Linked DNA regions of Macaca mulatta. The protein of the gene in region 2 binds, or shares a complex with, the protein of the main gene of each other region. Links are inferred from orthologs where the notes say so. Each region holds a gene or a part of one and is shown on either strand. Other genes may lie near its edges. The genes, in order: PXT1, BAK1 and BNIP5.

Region 1 (3,643 bases), about 2.8 Mb from region 2:
CCAGGAGTTTGAGGCCAGTCTGGGCAGCATAACAAGACCCCGTCTCAAACAAATAAACAAACAACAACAAAATCCAAATGATGTTGGGACAACAGGATATCCATATGCAAAAAAAGGAAGACAGACTCTTAACTAAAATGTATGCAAAAATTAATTTCAAATGGATCAAAGACCTAAATTTAACAACTAAAACTAAAAAGCCTTTAGAAGAAAACATAAATGTGACACCCAAAGCAAAAGCACTAGCAACAAAAAGAAAAGTAGATACATTGAACTTCATCAAAATTTAAAACTTTTGTACTTCAAAGAACGCTATCAATAAAGTAAAAGGACAACCTACGGAATGGGATATAATATTTGCAAATCATATATCTGATAAGAAACTTACATCCAGAATATACAAATGACTCCTAGGCCAAGGCAGGAAGATCATTTGAGCCCAGGAATCCAGGACCAGCCTGGACAACATAGTGAGGCCCTGTCTCTACAAAAAAATAAAATAAAATAAAAATTAAAAAATTAGCCAGGTGTGGTGGCACGTGCCTGTGGTCCCAGCAACTCAGGAGGCTGAGGTGGAGGATCAATTGAACCCAGGAGTTCAAGGCTGTGTGAGCTATGGTCACAGCACTGCACTCCAGACTAGGCAACAGAGCAAGAACCTGCCTCAAAAAAAAAAAAAAAAAAAAGACTCATATAATGATGAAAAGATAAGTAGTCAATTAAAATGGGCAAGGATATGAATAGACATTTCTTCAAAGAGAAAAATGACCAATAAGCATATGTAAAGATGCATATTATTCATCAGAGAAATGCAAATCAAAAACACAATGAGATACACTTCATACCCACTAGGATGGCGATAATCAAAAAGATAGTTAATAACAAATGTTGGCAAAGATGTGTAGAAACTGGAACCCTCATACTCTGCTGGTGGACCACAGTGTATAATAGTGTAGCCACCTTGGAAAACAGTCTGAAAGTTCCTCAAAAAGTGAAACACAGAGATGTCACATGACCCAGCAATTCCATTCCTAGGTATGTACCCAAAAGAATTAAAAACATTTCTACACAAAAACTTATATACAAATGTTCATAGCATCATTATTCATAACAGCCACAAAGTGGAAACAACCCAAATGTCCAACCACTGGTGAATGGATAAGCAAAATGCGGCATATCTGTACAATAGAATATTCAACTGTAAAAAGTAAAATACTGATACATGCTACAACATGGATAAGCCTTGAAAAAAGTATGTTAAGTGAAAGAAGCCATACACAAAGTTCCATATTGTGTTACTCCACTTATATAAAATGTCCAGAATAGACAAATCCACAGAGACACAACGTAGATTGGTGGGGCCGGGCTTTGCACTGGCTGTTCCCTCTGCCTGGAACACTTTCCCACTCCAGGTGTTCCCATGGCTAGCTCCCTCATTTCCAGTATCTGCTTAAATATCACCTTCCCAGAGACGCCTTCCCCGACAGCCTATTGGAAGTCACTCTCCATCAATCAGTGTGCCCTGATCCTGCTTGGAGCTCACATCCCTGTCTGACTTGGCTGTTTACCGTTCATCTGCCTTGTTATCTGCTCCCTCCCCACATCATTTCTATGAGACTGCTGCTCACTGCTGTAGCCACCAATGCGTGGAACTGAGTCTGGCATTCAATAAATATTTGTTGGAATGAAATTGGCCTATCAAATATTTATTTGATTGCCTATGTTCTCTATGTTTATTTTCTCTTTATTTCTCTCTTGCTTTATTTTATTTTATTTTTATTTTTTGGGACAGAGTCTCACTCTGTCACCCAGGCTGGAGTGCAGTGGCACAATCTCGGCTCACTGCAACGTCTGCCTCCCAGATTTAAGAGATTCTCCTGCCTCAGCCTCCCGAGTAGCTGGGACTATAGGTGTGTGCCACCATGCCTGACTAATTTTTGTGTTTTTCAGTAGAGATGGGGTTTCAACATGTTGGCCAGGCTGGTCTCGAACTCCTGACCTCAAGTGATCTGCCCACCTTGGCCTCCCAAAGTGCTGGGATTACAGGCATGAGCCCCCTCTTGCTTTTATAGCATTATTGTTGGGATCTCCCATCCATGTTTTGTCTCCAGGATGTTTTATCTGAGGAAAAGGCTGTGTGTTGTCCACATTTGGACCTGAGTATAAAAGAGGACACGGCACTCCCTGTGGCATGCATGGTGGAGGACAGCATGGTGGAAGCTGCACCAAGAAAGCTTCACAGGATAGTTGAATCTAAGAGCAAGAAACTGGGCTCTGAGGGGTCCGCCACCCCGTCTGTCACAGAGCGCATGTGATCACACAAATCCCCTGAGGAATGCATAAAAAGGTAGATTCTGATTCTGATTGTGTGGGCTGGAGTCTCAGATCTTACACATCTAACCAAGTGATGCTGATGCTGCCAGTCCACAGACCACAGTCTGAGTAACAAGTATGAGATTAAATGCCAGCTTTGGCTCAGGTTCACAATATTTAGATCTAATATGTGGTAATCCAGACAGTATTAATCCATTAATTCTGATAATTCCTGGGCATCTCAGACACTTGGCAGCTGTGGTTTTGTTTGCTCTTTCCTCCTACCTGACAGGCCCTGGCTGGGGAAACTGAAGCCTCACCTCTCGAACCATCCTATGATCAATACTGTCCCCAATGTGTCTCAGCTGCATGGCCAACTTGTGAATTATTTCCTCCTGGTGATGCTTCTGACCAATGCTATGCTCCTTGGGCTGAGAAGGTAGATTATGATCTGCATTGAGAAAAAAAGAGTTCAAAAGAGATAATCCTACTTAATTATCTGTAAAATCACCACTAGTTACTAAAAACTGTCTTAGAAAATGAGAGGGTGGGCTGGGTGCAATGGCTCATGCCTGTAATCCCAGCACTTTAGGAGGCCAAGGTGGGTAGATCACTTGAGGTCAAGAGTTCAAGACCAGCCTGGTCAACATAGTGAAACCCAATCTCTACTAAAACTACAAAAAATTAGCTGGACATGGTGGCGGGCACCTGTAATCCCTGCTACTCGGGAGGCTGAGGCAGGAGAATCACTTGAACCCAGGAGGCAGAGGTTGCAGTGAGCCAAGATTGCACCATTGCACTCCAGTCTGGGTGACAAGAGTAAAACTCCATCTCAAAAAAAAAAAAAAAAAAAAAAAAAGAGAGAGTTGAAATTCAGTTCTTACAATAATTATCAAAAAGCAAAGCCTATCTATTGGAATAGGTCAGCTCTCTCCAATAGAAATATAATTCAAGCCACACATGTAATTTTAAATTTTCTAGCAGTAAAATCAGGTAAAATTAATTTTAGTAATTTATTTTACCTAAATCAATATATCCAAAATATCATAATTATAACATTAATCAATATAAAATGATTAATGATGTATTTTGCATTTTAAAATTATACCTAAGTCTTTGAAATTCAGTGTTTATTTTGTACTTACAGGACACCTCAATTTAGATGCTAACTTTTCACCGGAAAATCTTGATCTATACTTAGATTTCATGAAGTTGACAGTTTAAAAAGTAGATTCAGGCCAGACGCCATGGCTCACATCTATAATTCCAAAACTTTGGGAGGCCAAAGTGGGAGGATCACTTGAGCCCAGGAATTTCAGACCAGCCAGGG
Region 2 (4,321 bases):
TCTCCCAACCTCCAGGCCCTCCCCAGTCCAGACTCCTCCCCCTCCCAGGCTTAACCTTGACAGCAGCTTCAGCCTCTGAGCCCGTGGGTTCCCACCCACAGTGGGTGAACCGAGGTGAAGGAGCCTGCCTCTGAGTCCTGCTCCTTCCATCCTTATGACAGCACTCATGGTTATGGGATGGGTGAGGGGCAGGAAGACCCTTACCAGAAGCAGAGGGCAGGGCAGGCTCTCCGCATTCCTGCCTGGGAGGACCTGGGCCTTGTCCCGAAGCCATTTTTCAGGTCTCAGTGGAGGACGGGGTCAGCCTGCGGGGATGGGCGAGAAAAAGCAGAGATGGGGTGAGCATGGACCTGTGACTGGGGACCCCAGACAGGTTGCCATGTCCACATAGGAGAGAGGGTTCCCCATTCCCAGAAAGGCCCTCAGTCCTCTGGGACTTTGGCCAGGCTGGTCTCAAACTCCTGACCTGTGAGTCTGCCTCTGCTTTCCAAAGTGCTGGGATTACGGGTGTGAGCCACTGTGCCTGGCTTCCTCTGGGACTTTTTATTCTCACTCCAGCATGGGTCCCAGTGAAGTCTGCTGGGAGGAAACAACTTCTGAGCACTTCACTGGTGACCCTTCGAGGGAGACAGGGTAAGAAGGTGAGGCAGCCAAGGGCAGACTGAGGTATCTGCACCCTCGAGGAGAGTGTGGCTGCAGCAGTGCCCGCTGGCTCTCAAGCTCATACCACTCCTGGGGCAAGAGCCTGGGGGGTTTTAGCTGTTCCTGGGGCCTCCTGCAGCCCACCTAGCACATGCTTATTGCAAGCGAGCCACTGCCCAGCCAATGGCCCATGAAGGCTGCCCTCAGAGGCCCTACTTCCCTCTGGCTGGTCAGAACACACCTGTTTTTTAACTCTGGGCTGTTAGCCGCAAACATTTCCTGAGAGCCTAAGATATACTCTCCCACTTAGGAGCACTCTGGGTGTTGAACATTGAAAACTCACATGAACCCAGCAGGGTGAGCACCATCATACCCACTTTGCAGCCTGGAAAAGTGAGGCATAAAGAGTTGAGTGCCCGAGGTCACATCATTAGTGACGGAAAGTCGGGTTGTTTGTCTGAATCTCCATGAGTCCATGTACTCAACAAGCATTTAAGATTTCTTCTTGTTTGTGGACCTCAGAGGGTGTCCCTTCTCAGGGCAACTTTCCCTGTTTACCTCCTGCCTGTGCCTTCCTCACCCCTGCCTTGCAGTGACCGGAGGGAGCCCTCAGGATCAGGGCCTTCTTCGAAGCCCCACAACCTGCCTCGTATTCCCACCACACACCTAGTCTTCTGTCCCCAGCCAACTTTCCTCTTTGCCTGGTCCTGACCGCAGCACCAACGTGCTGTGACCCCTCATCAGGGCGTTTCCTGGATGTCAGCTGTTTCACTTTCAGTTTGCACCCCTCCCAGAGCCCCATTTCCCCAGGCACCCTCCGGCCCTCAGAAGGAAAGCGCCCTCCTCCTATCTCAGAGGGAGGGGGTGTGCAGCCCCACCCTGGGCCAAGCACACAGCCCCACCCCCACCGCCCAGGGCCTGGGGACCTTCGCCCACCCTCCTTCCGCTAGGCCTGGGAGTGTTTTCGAAACTGCCCCAAGAGCTCTCGAGAAGGGGTGGAGGAGGACTGGACCACCTGTGCCCTCACCCAGCTCCCCACTCCTTGCTCTGCCGGACACGGACAGGGCGAAGGCAGACTCTCCTTTCCTCCACCTCTAGGGGCAAGGCCTTGTTAAAACAGAACTTTGCAGCCGGGCACAGTGGCCCACGAGGTCAGGAGTTCAAGACCAGCCTGGCCAACATAATGAAACGCCGTCTCTACTAAAAATACAAAAATTAGCTGGGCATGGTGGCGCACGCCTGTAGTCCCAACTACTCGGGAGGCTGAGGCAGGAGAATCGGTTGAACCTGGGAGGCAGAGGTTGCAGTGAGCCGAAATCGCGCCACTGCACTCGACCCTGGGCAACAGAGTGAGACTCTGTCTCAAAAAACAAAAAATAAAACCCCCACCCCCCCGGAGCTCCTTAAATAAGATGGCCTTCCTTCTTCCCCAGTCTCCAGAACCCAGCACCCTCAGGACAGTAGGGCCAGAGGATGCTGACGGCACCCCCAACTCCCTCTACCAACAACCCAGGCTCCTGAGGGGAGCAGGTAGAGCCTCAGGACACCCCCCAAGGCCAGCAACCTATGCTGACTCAGGCCTAGCTCTGTCCCCCAATCCAAGTGGCCTAAATTCCCGGTGAGGGGAGCCACCCCCGACTTCCTGGGCTTGCTGGGCCCTGATGAATGTTCCCCAGGGATACATGCCTGGCCAGGCCCTGGACCCAGTCTAGGGATGTTGGGCAGCAGGAAGCGCTGAGAAAGTTCTCTCTCTGCCCTTGACCTTGGCTCTGACCTCCACCCCCATCTCCCAGACTGTTAAAGGACCCAGTTCTCACAGTTCTCCGGCATCCAGGGCTGGGGCAAGAGGGGAAGCTGTGAGGGGCAGCCAGAAGTAGGCTTGCCACGATCAGGTCCCCAGCCGGGCAGGCGGACCTGCCCAGGTAAGCTTTGAGCTTCCCCTTCCCCACCCGGCTCCTGGCAGGCTCCCTGCCCCACCCTGGGGCTGGGGCTGCTGAGATTTGGGAGGACGGGCAGGACCCTTCCAGCTTACCTGCCAGGATCCTGGCCCAACCCGGGTGGCTCAGCAGGGCAGAGAGAGAGGTCCCGAGGGGCTGGCGGCTGCTGCTCCCAGGGGCTGAGTGGGAGCTCGGCTTCCAGGAACAGGCGTCAGTGCATTCCTGGCATCTGGATGTAGCCTTTGCTTGTCCCTGTGCTGCCGAGGGACCCGCGAGACTCCAGTGATCATAGAGGTGCCAGCGGCAACCGGCTCCAATCAGCTCCCTCTAGAGGAAGTTGCTCTGTGGCCACCGGATGCAGACGCACAGGCCTGCAGCCCGGAGGGGTGATCTGGGTGGGCCAGGCCCAGGAGCAGCTCCCGCCCACTTTCCCCACCCCACCTCCCAGCCAGGCAGAGCGGCTGTCAGTGGCCCACTGCTTTTCCCATCCCTGATTCTCAATCCTTGTCTTTGATCTTCTCCCCCATCTCTACATCAATCAATACCAATAAAAAACCCAGGGTGAGAAGTTTCTTAAGCACTGCTGCATGCCTGGCACTTTAGCAACTATTGTCTCGTTGGATCTTCTCAACAACTCTTGTAAGTGAGTGCTGTTGACAATACCCATTCAGATGAACAAACAGAGGCTCAGCTGGTTTAAGGTGCTCTCTAAAGGTCACTGAGCTGGGTTAATAATCAGTTCTGGGCCGGGCGTGGTGGCTCATGCCTGTAATCCCAGCACTTGGGGAGGCTGAGGCGGGCGGATCACTAGGTCAAGAGATTGAGACCATTCTGGCTAACAAAATCAGCTGGGCGTGGTGGGCGGGTGCCTGTAATCCCAGCTACTTAGAAGTCTGAGGCAGGAGAATCGCTTGAACCCGGGAGGCGGAGGTTGCAGTGAGCCAGGATCGCACCATTGGACTCTAGCCCGGGGGACGGTGCAAGACTCCATCTCAAAAAAAAAAAAAAAAAAAAAAAAAAATAGTAATAATCAGTTCGGGCCGGGCGCGGTGGCTCAAGCCTGTAATCCCAGCACTTTGGGAGGCCGAGACGGGCGGATCATGAGGTCAGGAGATCGAGACCATACTGGCTAACACGGTGAAACCCCATCTCTACTAAAATACAAAAAAAATTAGCCGGGCGAGGTGGCGGTTGCCTGTACTCCCAGCTACTCGGGAGGCTGAGGCAGGAGAATGGCGTGAACCCGGGAGGCGGGGCTTGCAGTGAGCTGAGATCCAGCCACTGCACTCCAGCCTGGGCAACAGAGCCAGACTCCGTCTCAAAAAAAAAAAAAAAAAAAAAAATCAGTTCTGTAGTCGCGTTGGGGAATACTAATACTAAATTGAGATTCAACCTGCAATTCAGACCTGTGCACCATGCACCTTGGTGGTCTCTGGAGATCTGAAATCCTGAAGGTGATAGTGAAGTAAACGGAGATTAAAACTCAATAGAGGCCGGGCACGGTGGCTCACGCCTGTAATCCCAACACTTTGGAAGGCCGAGGTGGGAGGATTACTTGACCCCAGGAGTTCAAGACCAGCCTGGGCAACAAAGGGAGACCATGTCTCTACAGAAAAAAAAATTAAAAACTAGCTGGGTATGGTGGTTCACACCTGTGCGTGTGGTGGTCCCAGCTACCTAGGATACTGAGGCAGGAGGATCACCTGAGCTGAGGAAGTTGAGGCTGCAGTGAGCCATGTTTG
Region 3 (3,643 bases), about 2.8 Mb from region 2:
AATTCCACAATCATCTGAATGATAGCATCCTCTGGAAGAAAGCAAATGCATCCAGTTATTCTTTCTAAATGCACAGACAACTCCTTCTAAATTACTGTCTTGGACAGTTCTCTTCAACAACTCTTTAGGCCACACAATGGAGGGAAAGCACCACATCCCAGGGGCAGGTCCTTCTGAGAGAAGGCTGGAAGATCCACGGGGAAGGCACTGAGCCAAACCATGACACTTCATGCAAGACATTTCAGGTCAGCCCTTTAGGCATTCAACTTGTGCCCCACTGTTTCCTTTGAAAGTCACAGATCTCAGAACATCTACTTTGGGTTCAGTAAGCTGTGTGACCTTGAATAAGTTTCTTAACCTCTCTGGGCCTTTATCGCTCCCAGTGAAATGTGGGTCATAATCTGTGTCCTGCCTCCCCCAGAAGGCTGTCAGGCTGTCATATGAGGGACTGGGCTTGAGAACACTTTGCAAGGCTAATGCTGATCTTCCAACCTGCAAAATTCCAGTGGGAAAATGGTGGATACCTGGCCTCACTAAGGTGGAGGATGAAAGGACATCAGCAGGGATGACACAGAGAGAGCCTGCCACGCTGATGCCTCAGCCACACCCCCATCTCTGCACAGAGAAGCCACTGACAATGGAAATGGTTTCCTTTGATACTCCGGTCAGCCTTTTCAAGGACAATGTGCCCACACTGTCCTCTGATAGGTACCAGCTGATGAGTTTACATGAAAAGAGATGCAAACAAGGTTCCCTGTTCTGAGGCTATCTGTGGGTTTGCTTTTTTTTTTTTTTTTTTACTCCTAACTTCCCTCTCTCACTTCCCTCACTTATAAATTGTTTGGCTTTTGTTGCTTGACTCAGCTACCAGCTGGTTCCCTCTCATGTAAGAAAACAATTAGCTGCAAAATAACTAACTCAATGCCTTTTAGTTATTCTTTGACACATGCATAGCTCCTTCATTTCACATGTTATAAAATATGCTCATCTTTTTTTACAGGGAATTAGACGAATAGGGGATTATTCTCGATTTATTAGGAGCACTCATGGTATTGTGGTTTTGTGTGAGACTGTACTTATTTTTTGGAGATGCATGTTTAAGTATTTAGGGATGAACATGGTTTACTCCAAAATGATTCAGCAACAAAATGATACGCACACAAAGCAAACTGGCAGAGTGTAAACAACTGAGTATACAAAGCATTGAACTATACTTTTCACTCTTCTATATATTTTTTAAAGTAAAATACATTTTAAAAGACTAAGAAAAGTTCCATTTTCATTAACACATAAGGCAGAAGCATTTGCCAGCAGCCTTTCCAATTCCCTAGCCTCCCTTCTGTGAAATTCTAAAATAAGCAAACGTGGCCAGAAGCACCAAAAGAGGCAAGAAAGGCCAGTGCATGTATTTTGAGAGCCACTATCCAAGGTCTCAGTAATCATTCAGAACAATCCGTCTCATTCAGTAATAGCCACCTCAGTCAGAGGCAAAAAGGTCACTAGAGATTCCGACTCACTATCAGGCTTTTTGAGCTCCTCTTCTTGCTGGTGACCTGTGGCGTGGGGAGAAACATCCAAAGCTCCAGCACCATCCACTTTGATGAGGAAGGAGTGGCAATCAGAATCTTCCCCACCTGGAATAGAGACGAAAGCAAACGGGTATGTAGGTGTGTATGTGCGTGTGTCAGTGACGTTCTCCCGACTTTGTTCATCAACACGAGAAAACAGCACAGAATTCACAGTGCGACAGGCACTGCTGCAGCCTGCTCCAGGCCTAACCAAAAAACCAGAAACCCACCAAGGTTTTTATCTGAGAAGAGGCTACTTCCACCAAGACACCTCTCTTGCTAACCCCCTCCCCGCAAACCCTCAATCTTCTCCCCATCATAAACACCGAGTTTTGAGTGCCACGAGGCAGAGCCCCCCTCCCTCTAGGTGCCAGTGGGCATTCAGCTCCAGAGCCTTGCGAGGCAGAATAGGAAGGCACCTTGGGAGCCAGCACCCTCATTTACCTGCGGGGAATCAAAAGTTCCAGAGGGAGCAGCTCAAGCTCAAGGTCACACAGCAAGTTTACTCCTGATGGAGCCAAGTCTAGAACCAAGACCTGGAAGCAGCAGCCCAGAAGCACACAGGCACCAGTGGGGTGGGAGTAGGGCTTCCCTCCTCGCCTGACTCCCTGCCTTCTCATTTCTCCTAGGTCTGTGCTCCTGAAACTAGAGGAGTTGGCAGTAACAGCTATTGTGCACTGAGCACTTTCCTTGTGGGCTGTGGCCACTCCATGAGACAGTAACTACTTATCTTCATTTTATCCATGAAAAAAGTTGAGGCTCAGCGAGGAAACCTGCCTCCCTGGGCCACACAGCTTGTGAACGGCGGCACTGAGAGTGGGCGAGTGGTTTTCCCTGGAGCGCTCAGCCGTGGTGCTGTTCTACCTCAAAGAAATGTCACAGTGGGCCAGGCGTGGTGGTTCACACCTGTAATCCCAGCATGCTGGGGGGCCACGGCCCGTGGATCACTTGAGTCCAGGAGTTCAAGACCAGCCTGGCCAACATGGTGAAACCATCTCCACTAAAAAATACAAAATTAGTCAGGCATGGTGGCGGGTGCCTGTAGTCCCAGCTACTCGGGAGGCTGAGGCAGGAGAACGTCGTGAACCTGGGAGGCAGAGCTTGCAGTGAGCTGAGATTGCGTCACTGCACTCCAGCCTGGGGGACAGACAGAGACTCCGTCAAAAAAAAAAAAAAAAAAAAAAAAAAAAGCAAGCAAGCAAGAAAGGAAGAGATAAAGAATGGAAGAGAGAGAGAAAGAAAGAGAGGAGGAAGAAGGAGGAGGAGAGGAAGGAAGGAAGGAAGGAAGGAAGGAAGGAAGGAAGGAAGGAAGGAGGGAGGGATTCACAGCGGTGCGGAGGGAGGGAGGGAGGGAGGAAGGAAGGAAGGAAAAGAGGGAGAGAGGGAAGGAGGGAGGGAGGGATTCACAGTGGTTCGGAGGGAGGGAGGGAGAGAGGGAGGGAGGAAAGAAGGAAGGAACGAAGGAAGGAAGGAAGTCACAGCGGTGCGGCCCCTGACTATTCTTGTCACTCTGTGGAGAGGCTCCTGGAGCAAGTTTAGAGCACCCTAGGGGTTTCCACAGGAACAGGCACGGTCCACTCACCCCTGCGAGCTGGGCCCAGGTCAGCCTCCCCAGAGCGTGAGGCAGCAGCCGCCTTGGACAACCCTTCCTCTTGGCCTCTGGCATCCTGGTCTTGAGCTGCTTTAGTCACCTCGGCTGCATGTTTCTTGTGACCTTGCTTCTTGCGACCGGCCTTCTTGTCGTGGTGGGCTCTCTTCCTGAGGGCTGGCTCCCCTGCTGCTTCCAGGGGCTCCAGAGGCTGGGAGAGGCCCTCCTTCCCCCTTGGCCTCCTGCTGGCCTTTTCTCTGGGCTCCTCAGGGCCCGTCCTCACGAAGAAGTTCAGCACGGTCTTCAGCCACCCCTTCTTGGTGTCTTGCGAAGGCCTCTGCTCACTGGGGAGAAACTCTCCAGTCTCCTCGGGAGTGGGGGCTGCAGTGGTGGTGCAGTGAGCCTCAGCAGACGGAGCTGGGCTGTCTGAATGTCTGGCCCAATCACTGGTCGCCCAGTGAAGCGCCTTCCTGGAGGGGGCAGTGGG

What was found.
Region 1: the proteins of BAK1 (region 2) and PXT1 are in contact, whole or in part, in a crystal structure (PDB 8GSV), measured with the Homo sapiens proteins. The link is inferred for Macaca mulatta from reciprocal best matches to the Homo sapiens genes BAK1 and PXT1. Residues at the interface, in NP_001179.1 of Homo sapiens: Ile81, Gly82, Asp84, Ile85, Asn86, Arg88, Tyr89, Glu92, Phe93, Met96, Leu97, His99, Leu100, Tyr110, Lys113, Ile114, Ser117, Leu118, Glu120, Ser121, Asn124, Trp125, Gly126, Arg127, Val129, Ala130, Phe134, Asn182; in NP_694535.2 of Homo sapiens: Ile78, Ile79, His80, Lys81, Leu82, Ala83, Met84, Gln85, Leu86, Arg87, His88, Ile89, Gly90, Asp91, Asn92, Ile93, Asp94, Arg96, Met97.
Region 3: the proteins of BAK1 (region 2) and BNIP5 are in contact, whole or in part, in a crystal structure (PDB 8IGC), measured with the Homo sapiens proteins. The link is inferred for Macaca mulatta from reciprocal best matches to the Homo sapiens genes BAK1 and BNIP5. Residues at the interface, in NP_001179.1 of Homo sapiens: Leu78, Ile81, Gly82, Ile85, Tyr89, Glu92, Phe93, Met96, His99, Leu100, Tyr110, Lys113, Ile114, Ser117, Leu118, Ser121, Asn124, Trp125, Gly126, Arg127, Val129, Ala130, Phe134, Ala180, Leu183; in NP_001010903.3 of Homo sapiens: Ile246, Ile247, Gln248, Met249, Ile250, Val251, Leu253, Leu254, Lys255, Arg256, Val257, Gly258, Asp259, Gln260, Trp261, Glu262, Glu264, Gln265, Ser266.

The regions. Positions count from the first base shown.
Region 1 is NC_133409.1:145,857,426-145,861,068, reverse strand, and holds part of PXT1 (peroxisomal testis-specific protein 1), read right to left. Parts: intron 2,765-3,643; coding exon 2,634-2,764; intron 1-2,633.
Region 2 is NC_133409.1:148,704,971-148,709,291, reverse strand, and holds the start of BAK1 (bcl-2 homologous antagonist/killer), read right to left. Parts: upstream 2,889-4,321; 5' UTR 2,675-2,888; exon of another isoform or gene 1,999-2,674; intron 1,386-1,998; exon of another isoform or gene 1,309-1,385; intron 618-1,308; exon of another isoform or gene 467-617; intron 462-466; exon of another isoform or gene 306-461; 5' UTR 275-305; coding exon 205-274; intron 1-204. UniProt on the Homo sapiens protein: Plays a role in the mitochondrial apoptotic process. Upon arrival of cell death signals, promotes mitochondrial outer membrane (MOM) permeabilization by oligomerizing to form pores within the MOM.
Region 3 is NC_133409.1:145,923,808-145,927,450, reverse strand, and holds part of BNIP5 (protein BNIP5), read right to left. Parts: coding exon 3,151-3,643; intron 1,635-3,150; coding exon 1,518-1,634; intron 32-1,517; coding exon 1-31.